3 linked regions of the Coturnix japonica genome follow. The protein of the gene in region 2 interacts with the protein of the main gene of each other region in a pairwise test. Links are inferred from orthologs where the notes say so. Each region holds a gene or a part of one and is shown on either strand. Other genes may lie near its edges. The genes, in order: ARNTL, EPAS1 and ARNTL2.

What was found.
Region 1: the proteins of EPAS1 (region 2) and ARNTL interact in binary tests that used the Homo sapiens proteins (3 or more experiments, as listed by UniProt). The link is inferred for Coturnix japonica from reciprocal best matches to the Homo sapiens genes EPAS1 and BMAL1.
Region 3: the proteins of EPAS1 (region 2) and ARNTL2 interact in binary tests that used the Homo sapiens proteins (3 or more experiments, as listed by UniProt). The link is inferred for Coturnix japonica from reciprocal best matches to the Homo sapiens genes EPAS1 and BMAL2.

What each region holds. Positions count from the first base shown.
Region 1 is NC_029520.1:11,893,291-11,899,822, reverse strand, and holds part of ARNTL (aryl hydrocarbon receptor nuclear translocator-like protein 1), read left to right. Parts: intron 1-48; 5' UTR 49-56; coding exon 57-196; intron 197-3,154; coding exon 3,155-3,175; intron 3,176-4,011; coding exon 4,012-4,050; intron 4,051-4,350; coding exon 4,351-4,392; intron 4,393-5,145; coding exon 5,146-5,303; intron 5,304-6,532. UniProt on the Homo sapiens protein: Transcriptional activator which forms a core component of the circadian clock.
Region 2 is NC_029518.1:23,770,730-23,777,261, forward strand, and holds part of EPAS1 (endothelial PAS domain-containing protein 1), read left to right. Parts: intron 1-189; coding exon 190-337; intron 338-1,088; coding exon 1,089-1,297; intron 1,298-1,623; coding exon 1,624-1,823; intron 1,824-2,816; coding exon 2,817-2,927; intron 2,928-3,106; exon of another isoform or gene 3,107-3,249; intron 3,250-4,070; coding exon 4,071-4,555; intron 4,556-4,936; coding exon 4,937-5,060; intron 5,061-5,151; coding exon 5,152-5,269; intron 5,270-5,681; coding exon 5,682-5,864; intron 5,865-6,105; exon of another isoform or gene 6,106-6,532.
Region 3 is NC_029516.1:62,644,546-62,651,077, forward strand, and holds part of ARNTL2 (aryl hydrocarbon receptor nuclear translocator-like protein 2), read left to right. Parts: intron 1-77; coding exon 78-195; intron 196-996; coding exon 997-1,140; intron 1,141-2,705; coding exon 2,706-2,946; intron 2,947-3,800; coding exon 3,801-3,907; intron 3,908-4,468; coding exon 4,469-4,619; intron 4,620-6,116; coding exon 6,117-6,172; intron 6,173-6,532. UniProt on the Homo sapiens protein: Transcriptional activator which forms a core component of the circadian clock.

The sequences.
Region 1 (6,532 bases), on a different chromosome or scaffold from region 2:
AATAGAGTGACTTTTTATTCCTTTTTTTTTCTTTTTTTGTAACATTAGACAATCCAATGGCAGACCAAAGGATGGACATTTCTTCTACAATTAGTGACTTTATGTCACCAGACCCTGCTGACTTGATTTCCAGTTCCCTTAGCACTTCAGGAGTGGATTGTAATCGGAAAAGGAAGGGAAGTTCTACTGATTATCAGTGAGTTGGATTTCAGTCGATTTGATAATGTTGAAAGGCAGTTGGCAACAGAATGATATAGTTAGAGAGATGAAATAACCTTAATAACCTTTTCTTGACAACCAGTTGTTTAAAGATTGTATGAAAGAAAAATGCTACTGTGCACTAAAAGGAGAGTTCATTAGTTAGTAATAAGGCCTCCATCTCAGTGCAGCTGGAATTGAGGGCTATCGAACGAGGTAAGGCTCAGGAAAGAAACCTTTGGCTAATGAGGGGGAAAAAAAAGAACTGAATATTGATGTAATAGATGATGTGAAGTTGATTATGTTGACCGTACACATAGGAAGCTGAATGTCTGACCAGCAGGAGGGAAGCTAATAATTAATTAGAAAGGAGAAGCAAAACTAGGAATAGTTCCTTCTTTTCACCTATTTTTTGCCTTTTCAGTCATTTCCTATCAGTGTGCTGCCAAACTTTGTCTGATGGAGCTATTTTGGTCTCCCAGTTGAATATGAGTCTGAGGAGTCTCTGGTGTGCTGCAGTAGGACTGCCTTTTGTTGCATCAAGTGATTTAGTCTTGTGTTGCTCTCTGGCTGCAAACCATTATTCCTGGTAGAATAAAAAGTTGGTTTCTCGTGGATCAGTGGTAGCAAGTTTTCATTTCAAGAAAGCTGCTTCTCTTAAAGGGGTGCTTGCTAGTAACAAAGCTTGGAAGCACCATCCAAGCCATACCTTCTGTCTTAGGGCAGGCATTTGGAGCAGAAAGAAATCACACCAACTGTGCTTTAGAATGGTGAAAGCTGCAGTAATGTGTGCCACGTTTCCAGCTGTGCAGTGTCTTCAGCTCTACACCAAGACCAACATGCTTACTGTCAGTGACTACGCAAACTTCATATCAGTTGTAACTACAAAGCCTAGCTGCAGGGAAGCCTGTGGATAGGCCCCATCCATTATTAACACAGCTACGTAATCCGTTTCTATGTAACTTGGCACAGATTTTATCATTGTGGACTTTCTCACTGTTGGCAGTTCCTTCTCCATTGATCTGTGCTGAGGATGCCAATTAAGAATTAGGTTCCCTGTGCATTGAGATTATTTTTAGGAGAAGTTAGGTGCAAAACTAATTACCGTGTACAGACCACGAGTGTGCTGCATACATAGCTTCTGTAATGTAATAAAAATAAGTTTATAAATATAATAGGTGTAGCCTTCTTGAAAAGTCCATGATTCCCTCTAGTTGAATTGACTCCTACAAAATTCAGTGAAAAGCCTCAATCTTACCAACTTCCTCTTCTCTAGAAAGGATTTCTCCATCTTTATACTTGCGAGCAGGAAGCATTGCTCAAGTCCTTTTTCCCCAAAGACAGCTTGCTCTTTTAAGTTCCAATTCTGCCCTCTAGGTTGTGTGGGCATTTTATTAAATATGTGAAATGCTGTTTCCTCGAGTCAGCTTATAACAGCTGTCATTGTACCAGAGACTTTGTTGCAAAGAAAATGGTTATTAGTGAACATTCCTATTCCTAAGTAGAACTTAAGGTAGAATTCCTTGATCCCTCTTTCTATGTGTATGTATGTATAAACATTCAAGAATCGCTCCTGTTCAACTTTTGCTGCCTATGCAGATATTTGTTTTAACATAAATGGTGTCTATCCAGTGCTATGCTTCATTTATCAGTGAATTCAGGACGTGAGGAACAGCCTGACTGTTTTAGTGTGTGTTCATCTGTCAAGTACAAACAAGCTTATTGGTCAACAACAATTTCAGCTTTCCATGCCAGCTTCCTTTCAAATCTTTCTGCTGCTACTCTCCCAGTGAAATTCCTCTTCAGCATACTGCTGTAATTCCAGCTAAGGCGATCTGTTCTCTACTTCAGTGTGTTTAAGTCATGTGCTGGAATGCAGGACTTCATGCACAGATCTATAAGCACATGCTACCTTCTTTTGTTGGTAGTAGTATTTTAAGTTGAAATAGTACCGATAAGAAATGAAAGTATCCTGAAGCATTTGTAAATTACCCTGTTGCTGGTGTAGAAACCTCTTTCATATTTTGCTGTGCCACAACAAGCATCTTGTAGCTAAAGGTGGCACTAGGAGTGGAGAATTGATGCCTCATTTCTGTTACTAAAGTCCTCTGTTTCTTTGTGAGCATCAGAAGCACTTTGAACTATAATCTAAGTCAGTAACTCAAATATACAAGCGGAGAGATGAAGAATGCCTTTAGCATTATTCACACTTCTTTAAAACCTAATGACGAAGAGATTAAGAGGTGCGATGAATAATGTATAGAAAAATGCTTAAGGATGCTAATGTCCAGTTTTGAGTGGGAATAAGTAATACATCAGTGGCTAACGTGAGAAGATCCTTCATAAGGCTTTAATGAAACCTAGCTTCTCGCTATATTAAAGCTCAGTGGTATTTGTGATCGTTTTACAGACTTGAAGTGATGCCAGCAGTTAATTGCATGTAGAAATTCGTTTTAGTTTCCTTTTGATACAGTAAAATCTGTATGAAGTTCAGAATCAGGACTTGAGTACTGACTGAAACAAAACGTTCATCTGTTCTGCTGGGCAGAATCAAAAATGGAGATGGTTAAGATACATGTTGGTATCTTTTATTCCTGGCCTTGGAGTCCTCTGAAACTCCAGGCAAGGACAAGGACAGCAGGCACACAGCGCAGATCCTTTTGTTTCTGCTGACGAAACAATATCTCAGTGATGTGCATCGCAGAGATAATTTGGGATAGTTGTGGTACTGATTTTTCACATTCAGCGTAATGGACTTGATTAGCTGTAGGCAAAATGATGCCTTCAGAAAATAGATGAATTTGAACAAACTTGGCTCCTTAAAATATACTCACTGCTCACGTCTTTGTTCTTTTTCATTTTGAATAGAATGTAAATTAGCTTGAGAATTTCAACAGAAAATGAAAGACGTTATTATTTCATATAGATGGTGTACTTTATTTCTCTTTCTTTTCAGACTCGATGGCTTTCCTTTTGAGTAAGTATAAATATTTTTGTGATCGGTTTCACTTGAAACAAGATGCTTGATGTTTTTCCATGTTTCCCCTCCCCTGTGCCTAAATGTGGTGATAAAAAAAACCAAACCAGCATAAGGCAGGCTCAGGAGTGCCCATGTAAGTGAAGTGGTACAGGTTTATCTATATGAAAACATCCTCTTCCTCATTCTTTTGTCTAACAGCACTGTAATCTTTGGCATTTTTTTCAGGCACACCACTTTAAAATGTGCCTGCTTAGCTTTATACACACTCCCAAACCCCCTGTGCATTTGGCTGTTTCCAGTGCTGCAATGCATTATGTTGGTATAGATTATTGCCATCTCCTGTCCCAAAATCAAGGCACAGTGAGGTTTAGGACACGCTGACGTGAGTGAATTCAGGGTGAACTGTGCATTCTGCAGTGGGCCTTGTGATAATTGCCTGTGTTTAAATGTCTAATTGCAGTAAATGCAAGTTAGTGGCCCTCATTCTGGTGAGGGCATGAAAAAGATCTGCTTTGATAAGTCCTTTTTGCTTTTACCCCTCTTGTTAACTGAAAAACATTTTTATAGCAGATGATGTCTTTGAACTGCAGTGTGTTTTACTGTCAAACACATCAAACTGTGCCATTTTGTGTGTTTCAGAAGAAATGCAAGAAAATGTTGTAATACTACAGAAAATGCTCTTGTGTTTCCAGGTTGTTGCTTTTAAATTCTTTTTTTTTTTCCCCAGGATTTAAGGCTGACTGCAACACTTAATTCTGGTTTTATGCTGGTTTGCTAACAGCCTCGCTAATGCTGCTTAATTTGTGATATGTCGCTTCATTCTGTTTTTGCAGGGAAGGTATGGATACAGATAAAGATGACCAACATGGCAGGTACTGTAGACACGGTCCCTAAACTGTTTCACAGTACTGATGTAGGATCTGTTTGCAATGCCTTGGTCCGGTGTCTCAAGTTGTTTTGGGACAAAGGTATAAGACCATTGCATGAAGTCGAACGGTCCAAGCAAATATCCTTTGAGTCCTACCGCAATATTATTAATAATGTCATTTTCTGAGGGAAGGCTAAATAAAGATTCAAATCTTAAAACCTATTTTAATGAAGATCGTTAGGTTCATAACATATATTAGAAATTGTTTTCAGTACTGTAACTTTGTGATATCGTTTCTTAACAGACTGGACTACGCAGACCAACAAGGGAGAATAAAAAATGCAAGGTACTGCTCTCAGCAAGCATGAAAAGAGTTTGCCTTTTGGCATATACGAAATACCTGCCTGTGATTTACTCTGAGAATAACTCGTTTTCGTTATCTTTGCACTGCTAACTCTTCTCACATATGAACTACACGTAGTTTTGTGGAAGTGCTGAACATAACTTTGTTTTAGTCACTTCTGTCAGCGTTAGCATGGAAATTGGAGCCTGCACAAGTTTCTTAAATATTACATTCTTTCGAACTCAGTAGTTACAGAGTGTTAATAGCGATTCTTAAGATGTGAAAATACAGAACAAAAACAAAATAATTCAGCAGTTAGCATCAGTTTTCCCAGTTAGGGAGAGTTTAGTTCAAAATTATCTCAGATATTTCAACAGGAAAGCCGTAGGATGACTAGAAGACATACAGCTACAGCAAAAGTTAGTTTTAAATACTGCTGTGTTGATGTAGCATACTAATACAAATATGGAGTGGAATGCATTATTCAATGTACTGTATGAGCAACACAGTGTGTGTTCTCTGGTTAATAAGGGCCAAGTACTGCGGCCCTTCCTGTAGCTTGTAACTGCTATCACTCAAGTAATGAGCATATTATTCTCTGAAAAATTCTGTATGTACATTTTATGGGGCTGAGTGGGTGAATGAATTATGAGGACGCTAATTATTTTTATTATATAGGATTTGGGCATTTTTCTTTGTTAACACAGTTCATTTTCTCACACTCTTCTGTTTTTCCTTCCCACCTTGCTTGTTCAGGGAGGCTCATAGTCAAATTGAAAAAAGGCGTAGAGATAAAATGAACAGTTTTATAGATGAACTGGCATCCTTGGTACCAACGTGCAACGCTATGTCTCGAAAGCTGGATAAACTCACTGTACTGAGGATGGCAGTCCAGCATATGAAAACATTACGTGGTAAGTAGATCAGTGGGAGCAGAGAGAACTGGGGTTGGAGGGTGATAAAGTAGGGTTTACCCAAAACAGTCCGTGTTTTTACTCTCCATTTCTTGCCATTTTGACAAAAGGGAGTAACTCTGGTCTTGTCTGGTGTGGTTTTACTTGGGGAATTTCAAGGGCTTTTATTTAAGGGAATGAAAGAACTTGTGGTTGGCAAATTCACCTGAGTAGCCTAAAATCAGCCATGTTTTTAAGTGTGGGGGGGGATGTGTAACCTTGCAGCAAAACAGGTTTTCAGTTTTGGAGCTTTGAGGGTTTCGTGTTGTTTGCAGCGGTCGCATTTGAAAGATTCATCTTCTCAGTCTACTGCTGTAGCAGTGCAGTTTTCTCCTGTGTGAAAGAACTGATGTAAGCAAGCCATCCCTACCCTGAAGCTACTCCTTCTGCCCTGTGTTTGCATCATGCCTGCACCATGCTGGTTCAAGATGAAATTCTCTTTGGAACTCTTTACCTAATTGTTTCATCTTTGAACGCTTGCAGCAGCACTGCAAGGCCCTTCATCAGATACAGCCACAGAGATTTTTGCCTTTTCTCTTACTTCTGTAGATGTCCTTACAAAAAGAAAAGAGAATTCATTTTTATTTTCTGTCTTTTCCCTTAGAAATACCTTCAAACTTACAGCTATTTGTCATCTTCAGCACTCTTTTTCCTACCGAATCTGTAAGAATGCAAAACATACCATGTCCTGGAACAAAGAAAGCAGCTTGTGTGGGCTTCCAGAGTTTGTGGTAGAAGTCATGCAAAGGCACATGCTGCCAACTGTGCATTCCAGCTCAAGGTGTGGCTAGTTTGTTTTAATATCAAGCTACCACATAAGGGATGCGGCCTCTCTTTCCCCCCTCTCTTGCAGCTGAGCAACTGCAGGGTGTCTTGCTTCACGGTCTGATATCCTGATCTAGCTGGGAAATTTGTGATGAGGAAGGAATCATTTACTATTAGCTGACATGGTGGATTAGCATCACTGAATACAGCTGAGCTTGTGGGAGGAAGGAACAAGGGCTTCGGTTGTAATCCACTGCTGAATTTTGCATGGCACTGATCACTCTTCTTAGGTGGGCCAAGTGCAAGACTTGTTTGGATAGAGAGGTTAGGTTTTATGTGTAATATTGCTGCAGGATTTGTGATGTTTTGTGCTCATACCTTTAGCCATTTGTGAAAGAACGAGGAGTACTTTGAGGCTTCCATTT
Region 2 (6,532 bases):
GACTGGTTCTAAATGGATCTTTAAGATCCCTTCCTACCGAAGCCATTCTGTGATCACTGTTTACAAATGTTTTCATGCAGTTTTGCATAAAGAAAAGTTGGGAGCGGATGTATTTAAACAAGTGTTACGTATTATGCATTCTTACTTGTGCTGCTACCTCATTTTTATCTCTCTGCTCCTGTTTCTTAGTGTGTACAAAAGGTCAAGTAGTGACTGGCCAGTACCGTATGCTTGCCAAGCATGGTGGATACGTGTGGCTGGAAACTCAAGGGACCGTCATTTACAACACGCGCAACCTACAGCCTCAGTGTATCATCTGTGTCAACTATGTGCTGAGGTAAGTTGTGCAGAACAGAAAAAACACTTCTGAGTCCTTGTGCTGGAAAAAATGCAAGGATGAGAAATATTTTTGAAGGGTCTATTTATCCAGTGCTGCTATGCTGGAATCAGTTTAGTCATGTTTGTTCAATCTTGTTTACTGATGTTAGACATTGATGAAGAATGTGGCATGCCCGTTCCCATACAAGCTGTTGAATTACACCATAGCCTTTTTCTTCTACAGAGCAACTGCTCTGCTGGTGAAGCAGAACACAAGGGCTGCACTAAAGATTTTGTTGTGTAACACAACTACTGAATGCATTTTATTTTTCTAGTATTGTGACAGAAGGAAAAATTGGTAGTAAGTGTATTTGTGTTGCTAGGAAAAGCCATTTTCTTTCTCAAAAATCGGAACCACAGATCAATCTCTGTCCTGAAAAGCTCATGTATTTTTGGTCCTGGATGAGTCCTAAATAAAATACTTATTTGAGTGATAGTCTGGGTCATTGTAGCCCTGACTACATCCCTTTGAAAACCAGAGCAACAAAGCCCTAAGTACTCTCACAGAAGTCTTGACCACACTCTCCACGTCATCTGAGATTGTGGTGCTCAGCAACACTGGAACTGTGCCTTTCTTGTCAAGAGCCTGGCATTCAACTGAGAGAGACCAAAATACTGTTAGAGCAATCTTTCGAGAGTTATAATACCTGTCTTTACCACATCTTCCTTTATGGTGCTAAAAACCTAAACTCTTTCTTCTTCTTACTTAGTGAAATTGAGAAGAATGATGTTGTCTTCTCTATGGACCAAACGGAATCGCTCTTCAAGCCTCACCTGTTGACGATGAGCAGTGCCTTTGAGAATGGGATCTCAGGGAGGGATAAGAGTGACTTATTATTTACTAAGCTAAAAGAAGAACCGGAGGAACTTGCACAGCTGGCTCCAACACCTGGAGATGCCATTATTTCCCTGGATTTTGGTTAGTATTTGTGTAAATAATTTCTGTGCAACAAAGAACCACATATGAGCCTATGTTTAGAAACTTAATAGACCAGGTCTGTTTGCTGTGTGTATAAATGAGGAGTAACAGTCATAGGAGCTCATGTGCTCACATCAGCGGAAAATTTCTGTGAATGAAGGCAGAATCAGGCTTTTTTGCTGACTAAACAAGATAAAGTCTTTGCAAACTTACTTATTGTTATGGCAACTAGGATCAGAGTTTACTTTTAATAAATAGCTTTAATTATATCATAACAGGGCACAAGCTAAAAGCATCCATTAATGTTGTACTATTAACATTGTTAGAACTCCATCCAGGGATACAGAAGTTTGAGGAACCCCCTGACTATACCAGTGCTGTTTTGACACCAAACAAACCGTGGCCAGTAGAAGTGAAAAGCCATGCTGCTCAAGGTGAAACGCTGACAATGCCATCCTTTACAATGCCTCAGATTCCACCTGGCAACAGTACTCCAAGTGCAAGCAGCAACAGTAGCTGTTCCACGGTAAGAAAAGCTTTAAATAATGCGAAAGTGATGTTCTCTTTGTAAGTCCCATCAGAACATGAAGATGACATTCTCACTTTAGCACTCCTGTCTCAGTGTTTGTAACAAGCCCAGCACATCTATATCCCTACTGTATTGTGTATTTTTATCCTATGCTGTTTGTGTAGGAAAGCCCTGATAGAAAAAATGTCAGAAGGAAGCTATATCTTGCCTTTATATTGCATTCCTTGTTTTCCTCCATCTCACTAAGCAATTATGATAGTCTATAAACAAGCTAGTAGCTGAACTTGCTACCGTCTTACATGGAACTAACCTTAAGTGAAACTCCAATATTAAATGGTCTGGTCATTAGCAGAATTGCCCTCAGGCCAGTCCTCTTTCTGTTTGTTTACTAGAAACTATAGTCTTCAACAAAAAAGTTTACCCAGCTCAGGCTTTTGAGTGTAGCTTCACAGAGTTTACTGCTAAAAGAATGAGTGAGCTTTCCAGGGCACTGCCCTCATGAGCTAGAGCCACTATTATCAGAACTTTACTAGATTACTTACTAGGTTAGGACTCTACTGGATTTTGGAAACATTCAAGGTCAAGTTGGAGCAGGCTCTGAAAAACCCAATCTTGCTGTAGCTCTGTTCATTGCAGGGCTTTTAGCAGTCCCTTCTAACTTGAAACAATTTTATGTCCAATTTTATTAAAATCACTGACGTAGTGCAAAGCATTTTATTTCTTTAGATGTGTACTATTCAATTATTCTGTCATGTTATTAGTGTGATGTGCCAAAAAAAAACAAAAAACAAACAAACAAAAAAAAAACATTTAACGGGGCAACTAAGTTATTGTATTGGATGCCTGTGTTAAATCACTATGGCTCTCAATGTTTGTAGAGACAAGTAATCTGATGGTGGAGGAAATTATGTGACAGAAATGTAGTTAAGTGTGCTAAGCCAGCACTGTAGTTGTCTTGGCTGCTTATAGCCAATTGTTATTTCTGTGCAGCCAAACAGTCCAGAGGATTACTACACTTCTGTGGATGACGATCTTAAGATTGAGGTGATTGAAAAACTCTTTGCCATGGACACAGAATCAAAAAGTCAGTGCAACTCCCAGGTAAGTAAGAAGCTAATATCTCTCCCAAAACCATGAAAATTGGCCCTCCGTTAGCAGACAATAATAGAGATTCATGCAGATACAGTGTCATAACATGCACACCAAAACCATCAAACACAAGCATATGCTTTGAAAAGCTGAGGTGTCCACTTCTTTCCCTAATGATTTGAAGCAGTTACCTTGGAGGTGTCACTGTGGCAGTGCAGAAAAGAAAGAAGCAGAGCTTCAGAAACTGGGAGCTTCTGTAGACCGGATAAGGGATATAAGCAACTGCCTGTTTTTTTAATATCTTGCCGTGATGACTAATGAGTAAATGTTGTTTCTAGAACAAAACACAAATAAATTAACTCCTGTAAAACCTCAAAATGAAAAATGTTGTCAGTTAATGCCACAAGACAGGTAGACCCATGCAGCCACTTGCTCAATCCCTCCAGTAGGACAAGCAAGAGAATTAGAAGGGTAAAATTGTGCAAACTCTCCAGTTGAGATAAAGACAGCTTAGTCTGCAAAAGCAAAAGCTACACATGCAAGCAAAGCAAAATAAGGAATTCATTCACTACTTCTCATTGGCAGGCAGATGTTCAGCCATTTCCAGCACTGTTTAGTGCTCCATCACGTGTAGCAGTTTCTTGGGAACACAAACACTGTAACTGTGAATGCCTCGCAGATTCTCCTTCTTTCCCCCGCCTCTTATTGCTTAGTGTAATATCATGTGGTATGGGATGTCCTTTTGGTCATCTGGGGTCAGCTGACCTAACTGTGCTCCCTCCCAACTTCTTGTGCACCACCAGCATATTCCACTGGTGGGGCAAGGTGAGGAACAGAGAAAGGCTTGGCTCTTTGTAAGCAATAGCTAACACGTTGATCACAAGTCCAAAATATAATAGCGTATGATCTACTGTGAATAAGATTAACTCTATCTGAGCCAAAATGAGTACAACATATGTACAACTCATAGCAATAATGTTTTGTTATTTTTTATTTTAATATGGAGAAGCTGACCGCTTTCATTCACATAAATTTGGCATACAGTGATTTTTTTTTTTAGCTTCATAACTAACTCCCAACTAGTATTTCACATCACAGTGCCTCAACTATCATTAACTTTCAGGTTTCTCATGAACCTCTTTCATTTTTGTGCAGACTGATTTCAATGAACTGGACCTTGAAACCTTGGCTCCTTACATTCCTATGGATGGAGAAGATTTCCAGCTCAGCCCTATCTGCCAAGAAGAGCGTCCTCACTCTGAAAGTGCACAAAATACCCAGCAGAATCTAAGTAGCATGAGTACCATTTTCCAACCTGTTGCTTCTGCTTCACAGAATCAGTTCCTCCCAGAGAAATATTGCCCACAGCTATCAAATAAAAACATTAACCCTGGTCATGGGTCCCTATCATCTGTGTTCTTCAACAATATGAGTAGGTCATCGTTGCCACCATACCACAACCAAGCCAGCACTCCGCTGTCTTCGATGGGGGGTAGACCAAACACCCAGTGGCCACCTGATCCACCGTTAGAATATGTTCCTGCTAAATGGAGACTCATGGATAAATACTCAGGAACCCTATCAAGTTCCCCCTCAGGACCCCCAATACATTCTCCCAACATGCCCGTATATAAAAAAAGGTAAGAATTTATGTTTTCCATTGGAAAATATTTGAGCAGAAAGCAGTAGATATCTTGAATACATACAACTCGTGTTTGTGCTTAGCAAGGAGACAGGCATAGCTTTCAGAATCCTAAGATTAAAAATCTCATGACTCTTTTCCATATTATTTTTACGCTTGGCTGGAGATTTTAGAGGCTACTTATGCTAGTCTTTGATCCCCAAAGTAAAGTGTTCCCAAAGCATGTGGGATGACTAACAAAAGGAAACAAAGACATTCAACATACAGTGTCACGTGTCTAAAGGCCTCTTAAATGAAATAGACGAAAGAAGAATCTGTATAAATGAAAAAGATGGTTTAGATTTGCCTTCTTGCTCACCCAGAGATCTTTTTTCAACAGGCTGCTGGATGGTTTGGGGCAACGAGGCATAGATATAAACCCAGCAAGAATTGCTTTGTCTAATAGTTTGAAGCTGAAGCGACAGTTGGATTATGAAGAGCAGGCAATGCAACAGCTGACTGGGGTAATCATAAGAAAATGCATCCATTTCAGAATTGTGGATGTACCAAGATCATCAGTGTAATCAATTCATTTTGCTTTTCTCCAAACTGTAGGGAGACCCATCTGCCATTAACCCATCTCAGTTAATGTGGAAGAGAATGAAATTTCTCAAAGGGGAAAACTGTTCCTTGCTTACGGAGAAGAAGTCTCTCAGCACAAGTGTTCTTACTGGTAAGAGAAAAGAAATTGGTTCTGCAGTGTTAAGCTACTTTGAACTCCATCTCCCATATAGCTTACAGTTGAACAATTTATAGTATGTTTGATAGCTGCCAAGTAGATTGTTTCATATATGTCCATACCCTTACTTGGGAGGTAAATAGGGATCAGTTTAATAGAGGTAGGTTTACCTAGCGCTGATCCAATGTGTGGGCATTTAAAGCTAGAACAGATGCTTTCTTTCTACAGCACTGTTTTTCATTATTCAAAAATATCTTTAGTACAACACAACTTGCAGGTAGTACTGAATTTAGATATGCCTACATAGATTCATCGTCACACTGAGGAACAATTTGCTTCAAATTAGTATTAGCTTCTATAACAATTACAATGGCTTGATTTTTTTGTTTTCTCCTGTATGAATCAGATGAGTTTGTCTGCAACTCGAGAGGTCTGAGCCAACCAATGAATCAACTGCAGCTGCAGCAGCAACAGCAGCAACCCACCTGTGGCAGTCCTGGTGAAAATCTGAAAGCAGGAGCGTTTTCCCCTCAGTTTTACAGTCCCCATTATCAGGACTATACTGTGCAGTCAGCTCATAAAGTGTCAGGTAAGAGTTACCAAATACAGGGGCTGAAAAATGTTGGCATTTAGTTCCACTACAGATTCCATGAGAATAAAGCTTTTAACACAAAAGTAAGAGAATGTTAAACCAAGAGTCAAATGCGTGTTACACAAAATAAAAAATTAATTTGGCTATTAAAAGTTTCACATTAAACACATACATTTGTGATATATGTGAAAAAACAATTTTTTTCCCTTTGTTTCATTTCAACTAGTACCTCTGTTACCTTAGTAGTCTAGTCATCTTCCTGCATGTTCTTGTCTTGTGACAAAGGTGATTAAACTGTACTAAGCAACTTCAGTGCAGCAGTGGTAGCTCATGTTTGTGGATTACAGACCAACATCTGCCTTCTAAAAATTAATATCTGCAATGAAAGGAGATGTATGGAGATAGAGCAAGGCTGTCATTTTATGAGCTATGTTACTATAGCCTTCTTCATTTTCACTGGTGTCATTTTCCTCTGAACAATCTGAATTTAGAGTGGAAGTGGAAAACTTTGTGCTTGTAATCCCATAAAGCAGAGATGCTTTGTATTTGCTCTGAAAATGTTAACTGTTGGTAGTCTGAGGTGTGCTGGCATAAGTACAATACATAGTAGTAACTGGTATAAACAGAAGAGGAGGAAACATTCTCTTGCCCTCATTCTCTCCCTC
Region 3 (6,532 bases), on a different chromosome or scaffold from region 2:
TGTTGTTTTTCTGAGGTCTGTAATATGAAGTGTCCTGTCCTAAAACAGTGGGGTTCTTTTTTTCTTTTTTTAAATAGACCAGTTTAATTGGACAAAGTTTGTTTGATTACTTGCATCCAAAAGATGTTGCCAAAGTTAAGGAACAACTTTCATCTTCAGATGTCTCTCCCAGAGAAAAGCTTGTAGATGGCAAAAGTAAGTCATATTTGAATGCACTCAAATTTCTTTATTTTTTTAAGATATGTTAATAAAGTCAGTTCTTATGTAGGAAATAATTGTGTGCATGGATGTACAAGCTTGAAATACAATTTACATGAAAAAACATGTTTCAGTGCTTATCCGCTGCTTATAATTCATTGCAGTTCAACAGAAAAAAAACTTATTGTAGGCAATAAGTGTGATTGAATTTAGCATTGTTGAACATTTACCAAGTTGTAGTCTGACATTCTTCCTTCCAGGCATACTACTTTTTTTTCTAGTATTTTATAGGTCTTGTCATTACAAAAGACCTGATGTAGTTGAACATGGGATAAAATACTTCAGTATCAAGAATCACTGACTTCTCTGAAAATGCTGTCAATCCTAATTTAACCAAATCTATTTACAGTTATTTCTGATATGAAAAGCATTTTGTACTCTGCAGCTAATAACTGTCTTATAGCTGGCTTTTATAGGCATCTTTGCACTTCCTCTATGTACCAAATAGAAGTTGAAAGTTGATAAAGTGTATTTATTAAAGTATGATTCAAAATGTTAAATACAGCTTAAATTCAGTTTTGTAGTTCTTTTTAAATTTGGAGTCTGTGCAGCAGCCACATTTTCTTTGCCTTGTTTAAAGTTATTAGATGTTTTTTCTTTTGTAATTATAAGGACAACATTTAGGTAACTAAACAGTAAGGAGAATATATGAGAAACTGAAGATAAGGCCTTGGGCTCAGCAGTTTTATTCTTGGATTTTTTTTGTTTTCATTAACTACTTTACTAAATTTTTATAAGCTGGCTTGCAAGTACATACAGATTTTCAAGCTGGACCAGCTCGACTGAATTCTGGTGCTCGACGATCCTTCTTCTGTCGGATAAAATGTAGTAGGACCACAGTCAAAGAAGAGAAGGAGTGCTTACCCAATCCAAAGAAGAAAGGTATTCAAACAGTGTAGCTGAAATGGGGGCTTTCTGTCTTGAAATTCAGTATATTTAAGTTCCAAGCCAGTAGTGTGATCCTTGTAATTATCGCTGATTTCACGTAATAGCTGTAGAGAAGTGTAAATATGTACTGCAGGCGTGTTCTGAAAAACAGTCTAATTGTCCTTTTCTCCTCCCTATTCACTCCTGAGAAGAGGAAGGGAGGAAGGAACCTGGGTTGCATTGTTGGTTTAGGAGACACGGTCTGTTCTAGTCAAATTTTTGAAAGCACTGGAGCAGATCAGAAGAGTTAAGATAAATAACATATGTCTTGAAGATAACTATATGAATAAGGCCTGCAAAGTCTGCTGTTTTGGAGGAAAAAAAGCAAGTAAAATCTTTATCTGATTTACGTTTTGTATTGTGTGTACTTACGAATTATACCTTTCCATTTTTGCATTTTTTTAATAGTAAAGTTAATTTATCAGTGTAATATCAGTGTTTCTCCAATGTCTTTAATTTAGTCCGTAGTTTTAATTTAGTTTGGTATACCTGTAGAGCAGTATATTCTTGGCAAGTTTTCTTTCTGATCTTGAAAGAATCTTCCTTCTTTTTTATTTTAATTTAACCTGCTGCTGTTGAGATACATCATAAAAGAACACATTCTAAAATGGGTCTGTCATTGTAAGTCAGAAGAATTCTGTCCATCTCCCTTGATGTGTCAGCTAACTTGGTGAGAGTAGAATTTATCTCTTACAAACGTGCTTTCAGGCAAGCAGCATTCAGAGAGATCGCATTAAAAGTTTGGGAAACTAGCAGTTTCAGAAGGGTAACTCAATTTTTCATTTGACAGGGTTGATTGATATTTTCCATAGTTGAGAGTTAATGCAGTCAAATCTATGTCAATCATACTTTGGTAAAATAAGATTGCTTTGCCAGTTTGGGGGGAAGACAGTAACTGTAGGATACATAATCTCTGTATGTTGAGGTTAGTGGGATATTGTATAAGTAAGTTTCTACCAGTCATAGAAAGGGATTATCGCGTATGCTTAAATTAAATGTTCTTTAATATTTATGTTCCTGTAAAAATTGAGGAATTCAGAAGTCTGAGATAAGTGGAAAGTAATTTGGGTTATTTTGGGGTGCTCTCTTCATGGATTCTTTTAGTAATTGCAGCAAAAATATGTAGAATCATAGTGTTCACTTAAGATAAACATTCTGTAGCTTCCAAATCAATTTATTTAGTTTATTGTGATTTACAACACATAAGGAAACATGTAAAGGAGAAACAGTGGGTTACTAAGCTGTTGTTCTATTGTTGGTTTTGGTTTTTTTTCCCTTTGATACTACACTGTCAATGCCTATAATTTATCTTCCCAAGTCTTACATAGGGTTAGGAGCACTCTCTTCAGGTAAGCCAAAATTAAGTAGTAAAAATTTACTTCAAAAGCACGCTGTGACATTATCCATAGCCTTTTACAGTTGTAGTAAGTATGCATAAAATAGGATTGTTGGTCTTATGGTGAAAGATTTTTTTAATTACATTTTGAACCATAATTGCTTATTTTATTTCTTTTTATTAGATCACAGAAAGTATTGTACCATTCACTGTACTGGATATATGAAGAACTGGCCTCCTAGCGAGGTGGGAGTAGAAGAGGAAAATGATGTAGAAAAGAACAGTAGTAATTTTAACTGTCTTGTTGCAATTGGGAGGTTACACCCTTACATTGTTCCACAAAAGAGTGGAGAGATAAAAGTCAAAGCAACAGAATTTGTAACACGATTTGCCATGGATGGAAAATTTGTTTATGTAGATCAGCGGTAAGTTTTCTTCTTTAACGAAGAGAAAACGACATGACTTGGTTAGGTCTTGTGAACTTTTCTGACTGAAGGGACTGCAATTTTTTTAAGCATGTTAGGATTTCGGGATGCTGAAGAGCTGTGTCATGAATCTGAGTCCTTGGACTTCATTCTGTTAAAAATAAAATATAATTTATGTAGCAAAATAAGTGTATTGTCCTTTAGGAAAGTGTAGGTTCGCAAGATGAAAATGCATCATAGGATACTCTTGTATACTATATATTAACACAATAAAAAATTTTGAGTTAGAGTAGCATAGCTATACATGTGACTTATTTGTTTATAAGTTATGCTGACAGAGAAAAAAAAAATAATAAGCCCTTCACAAAAAAATGACTGCTTATTTATATCTTAGTATTTGGAGCAAATACATTTTATCTCATCTCATATCTAAAAGTGTCGGTTCAAACTTATTCCTTAGAGCAAAATTTAACTATTATTTTTTTCAAATGACTCATTAAGTGGGTTTGGTACTTTGATTGCCTAATTGGAAGAGCTAATAATCATATGTACTTTGTGTTCATTTAAATTGTGCATACAAATGGTTTGCATTTTCAAACACTGTTATTCTGTGTTTGAATTGATACTCTTACACAGTTTTGTTATCCTGTATTATACATTGCAAACAGATCCAAGGTAAACTGCAGTCTATATTTGCTATTATTTTAGAGCTATCCTAACGCTGTATCTTTTCTTAAATGTGAAAGTAAGCATCTATTTTATTAAATATTCATTTTTTGCTTCACCTGATACTGAAGAAAACTAGCTTTGCAATTGTCTGAATCCACCGCTGTTCATCTTTTTATTTCTAACAGTGCAACAGCAATTTTAGGGTATCTGCCACAAGAGCTTCTAGGAACTTCTTGTTACGAGTACTGTCATCAAGACGATCACAATCATCTAGCTGAGAAACATAAAGAAGGTACAAAACGATTGGTTCTCCCAGGCTATATAAAATTAGAAGCTGGGAAATAACGAAGTTAAACAGTGTTAGCATTGTCCCTTTCCATGTATGCATTAAGACATGCCCTCAGAAAGTGTGTAAGAAAACCAGGGGGTTTCTTGTCTGTTGTGACGAATCTTGTCAAGGCAATCTTCGGTTGTCTTGGGTCTTGGTGCAGTGCTGGGCAATAATGCTTCTTTTGACCCCATGCCTCAGTTCTTCTTTATAAGAATAAAGGAGTCCTGAAGAGCAAATGTGCCTAAAAAGACACTGTTGATGAAACTTCACCAAATCAGGGGTCTTCCTGTTAGTTGTCTGCAGAAACTTAGTGCATGGGCTCTCATTTGAGATTAGTAGCATTGTTAAAACAGTAGTTAAATTTCATAGAAGTCTTACCTTGAATATTTTTCTGGCACTTAATTAGAATATCTGATCATCAGAAACATTTTGTTTTTATGGTACCACAAAACAGATATTTTTAGCTCAACTCTGTCCTTGGAAGTATGAATATAGTGATTGTAATTCCTCTTTCTTATCTAGTGTTGCAGAATAAAGAAAAAGTATTCACAAATTCCTACAAATTTAGAGCAAAAGATGGAAGTTTTATTACTTTAAAGAGTCAATGGTTTAGTTTCATGAATCCGTGGACCAAGGAACTGGAGTACATTGTATCAAACAACACTGTAGTATTGTAAGTAATTCATTATATGATTACCCGTGTTAGTTTTTGTCTTAATTACAGAAAAGAACCTCTTTAAGAAGCAGAACATGATTAGAAAATACCAACAGTGCATAAAGAGGTTGAGTAATATGGAAGAACATATTGCATTTGATTTGCACCAGTTGATTTTGATTTCAGGCTCAGGTAATGGATTTAACTATGAACAATGCAATTTACTAGTTGAAAATTAGATGAAAGAATTTCTTATTACAGGAAGAAAGATCTTTTAGGAAAAAAGGCACAAGTAAATGGAAAGTGATGGGTTTTTTTTTGTTTGGTTGGTTTCTTCCTTCAGAGCTTCTAAGTCTGCATGTATTAGAATAAGGAGAAGTATAACTGATAGATCATAGGAAATATAAGGCAGAACAAAAAGATACTCTCTAAATTGATTGCAAGGCAGCTGCCCACAAGACAGCAACTGAACTGTTGGAGTGTGTGTTTCATTCTTATTTTGTTACATTTTATTCCTTGTGCCTTGTAATTGAACGATAATTTGGATTGTTCCAAAGATACTGAACATTTTTCTCAACAACAGTGGTTTTTGGAGGGGGAGGAACGTGATTTTATTTCCACTAGACAAAGTGGCCTTTACCCGTTCTGTAGTTGGTTCATATCTTAAGCCAACATCACCTGTCTATTTTGCCCTTGTCCTTTTTCCCCAACAAGACAAAGAAGAGCAGTTAAAGCAGTCTGTGCTGCCAACAGCCAAAGGCCACTTTTGCCTGCCCTGGAGGTCCAGGTGTTGGGGTACTAAGCTTTCTTTGTAAGGATTTATGAGTGCATACAGTAGTTCTGAGTAGATGGAGTGTTCTAGAATAGCTGAGTTAGGCCTGTAGGTTAAGAGTTAGTGGGCGAGCGGTTTAGGTAGGTGTGTGTACAGGTTGTCTCGCGTGCATCGGGTTTTGCGTAGCGAGTGTACGCATCTGCGTGGGATTTAGGATAGTATATAAGGTGTGTGACGCAGCAATAAATTGAGAGAAGACATCATGGCGTCCATGTTTGTGTCTCTCCCCCAGACAGTTGAGGTCCCGGGATAGGTCTGGTTAATTGGCGGATACGTCAGTCCAGGCATCTGCAGCTAGAGGAGGGGAGGTAGGCAGCAGCTGCTAGTAGAAAGTAGCTGCTGATCTTTTCTATTAGCAGTTGTTTCTGATTAATGGCTCTCCCTCCTATAAGTAGATATGATAGTCTTGTTCTTGTTAGGAAACACAGATGACTATATTGGCCTTAGTTATTGATTTTGGGAATAAGTGTAAATGAGTATTTTACTCCATGCTTCAGAAATAAAAGTAGAAAGGATTGAATGTTGAAAGATGTAAGGAATGCCTAGTTTTATTACTAGATTGAGCATGTTAGTTTAGCTTTGTAAAGTACTGATTGAAATAAAATGGAAATACACTGGATTTTACCACTGAAAATGTTTCTGATTGGTTTGTTTATTTGTTTGCTTTTTTATATAAACCTTAGAGGTCACAATGAGTCTGCTGAAGAACAGGTCTCCTATGGTTCCCAGCCTGCAGAAGGCAAGTGTTGCTTCTTACAATTATCACATGAGTATCTCCTGATCAATCCTTGAAACTTTTGGTTTATTCAATTCAGGATTTTTTTTTAATACTAAGTTATTGTGCAAGGGAAGATAATTTTAAAGGTAATTCTAATGAGGTCATTTTAGAAGTAATTCCATTTAGTTACAACATTCTAACTCATGTAATGCATGTAACTGTGATCAGAAAGGTTTGCAGCATATCTTTTTCCTCTGGTAACTTCTGATGCGACTTGGTTTTTAGTTGATAGAACATGATGTTTCTATCACACAGTCTCTTTGTGCTTTTTCTGGTTTTCTGCAGAAATACTGGTGCACTGAGTTTAGCTACAGAATAAAG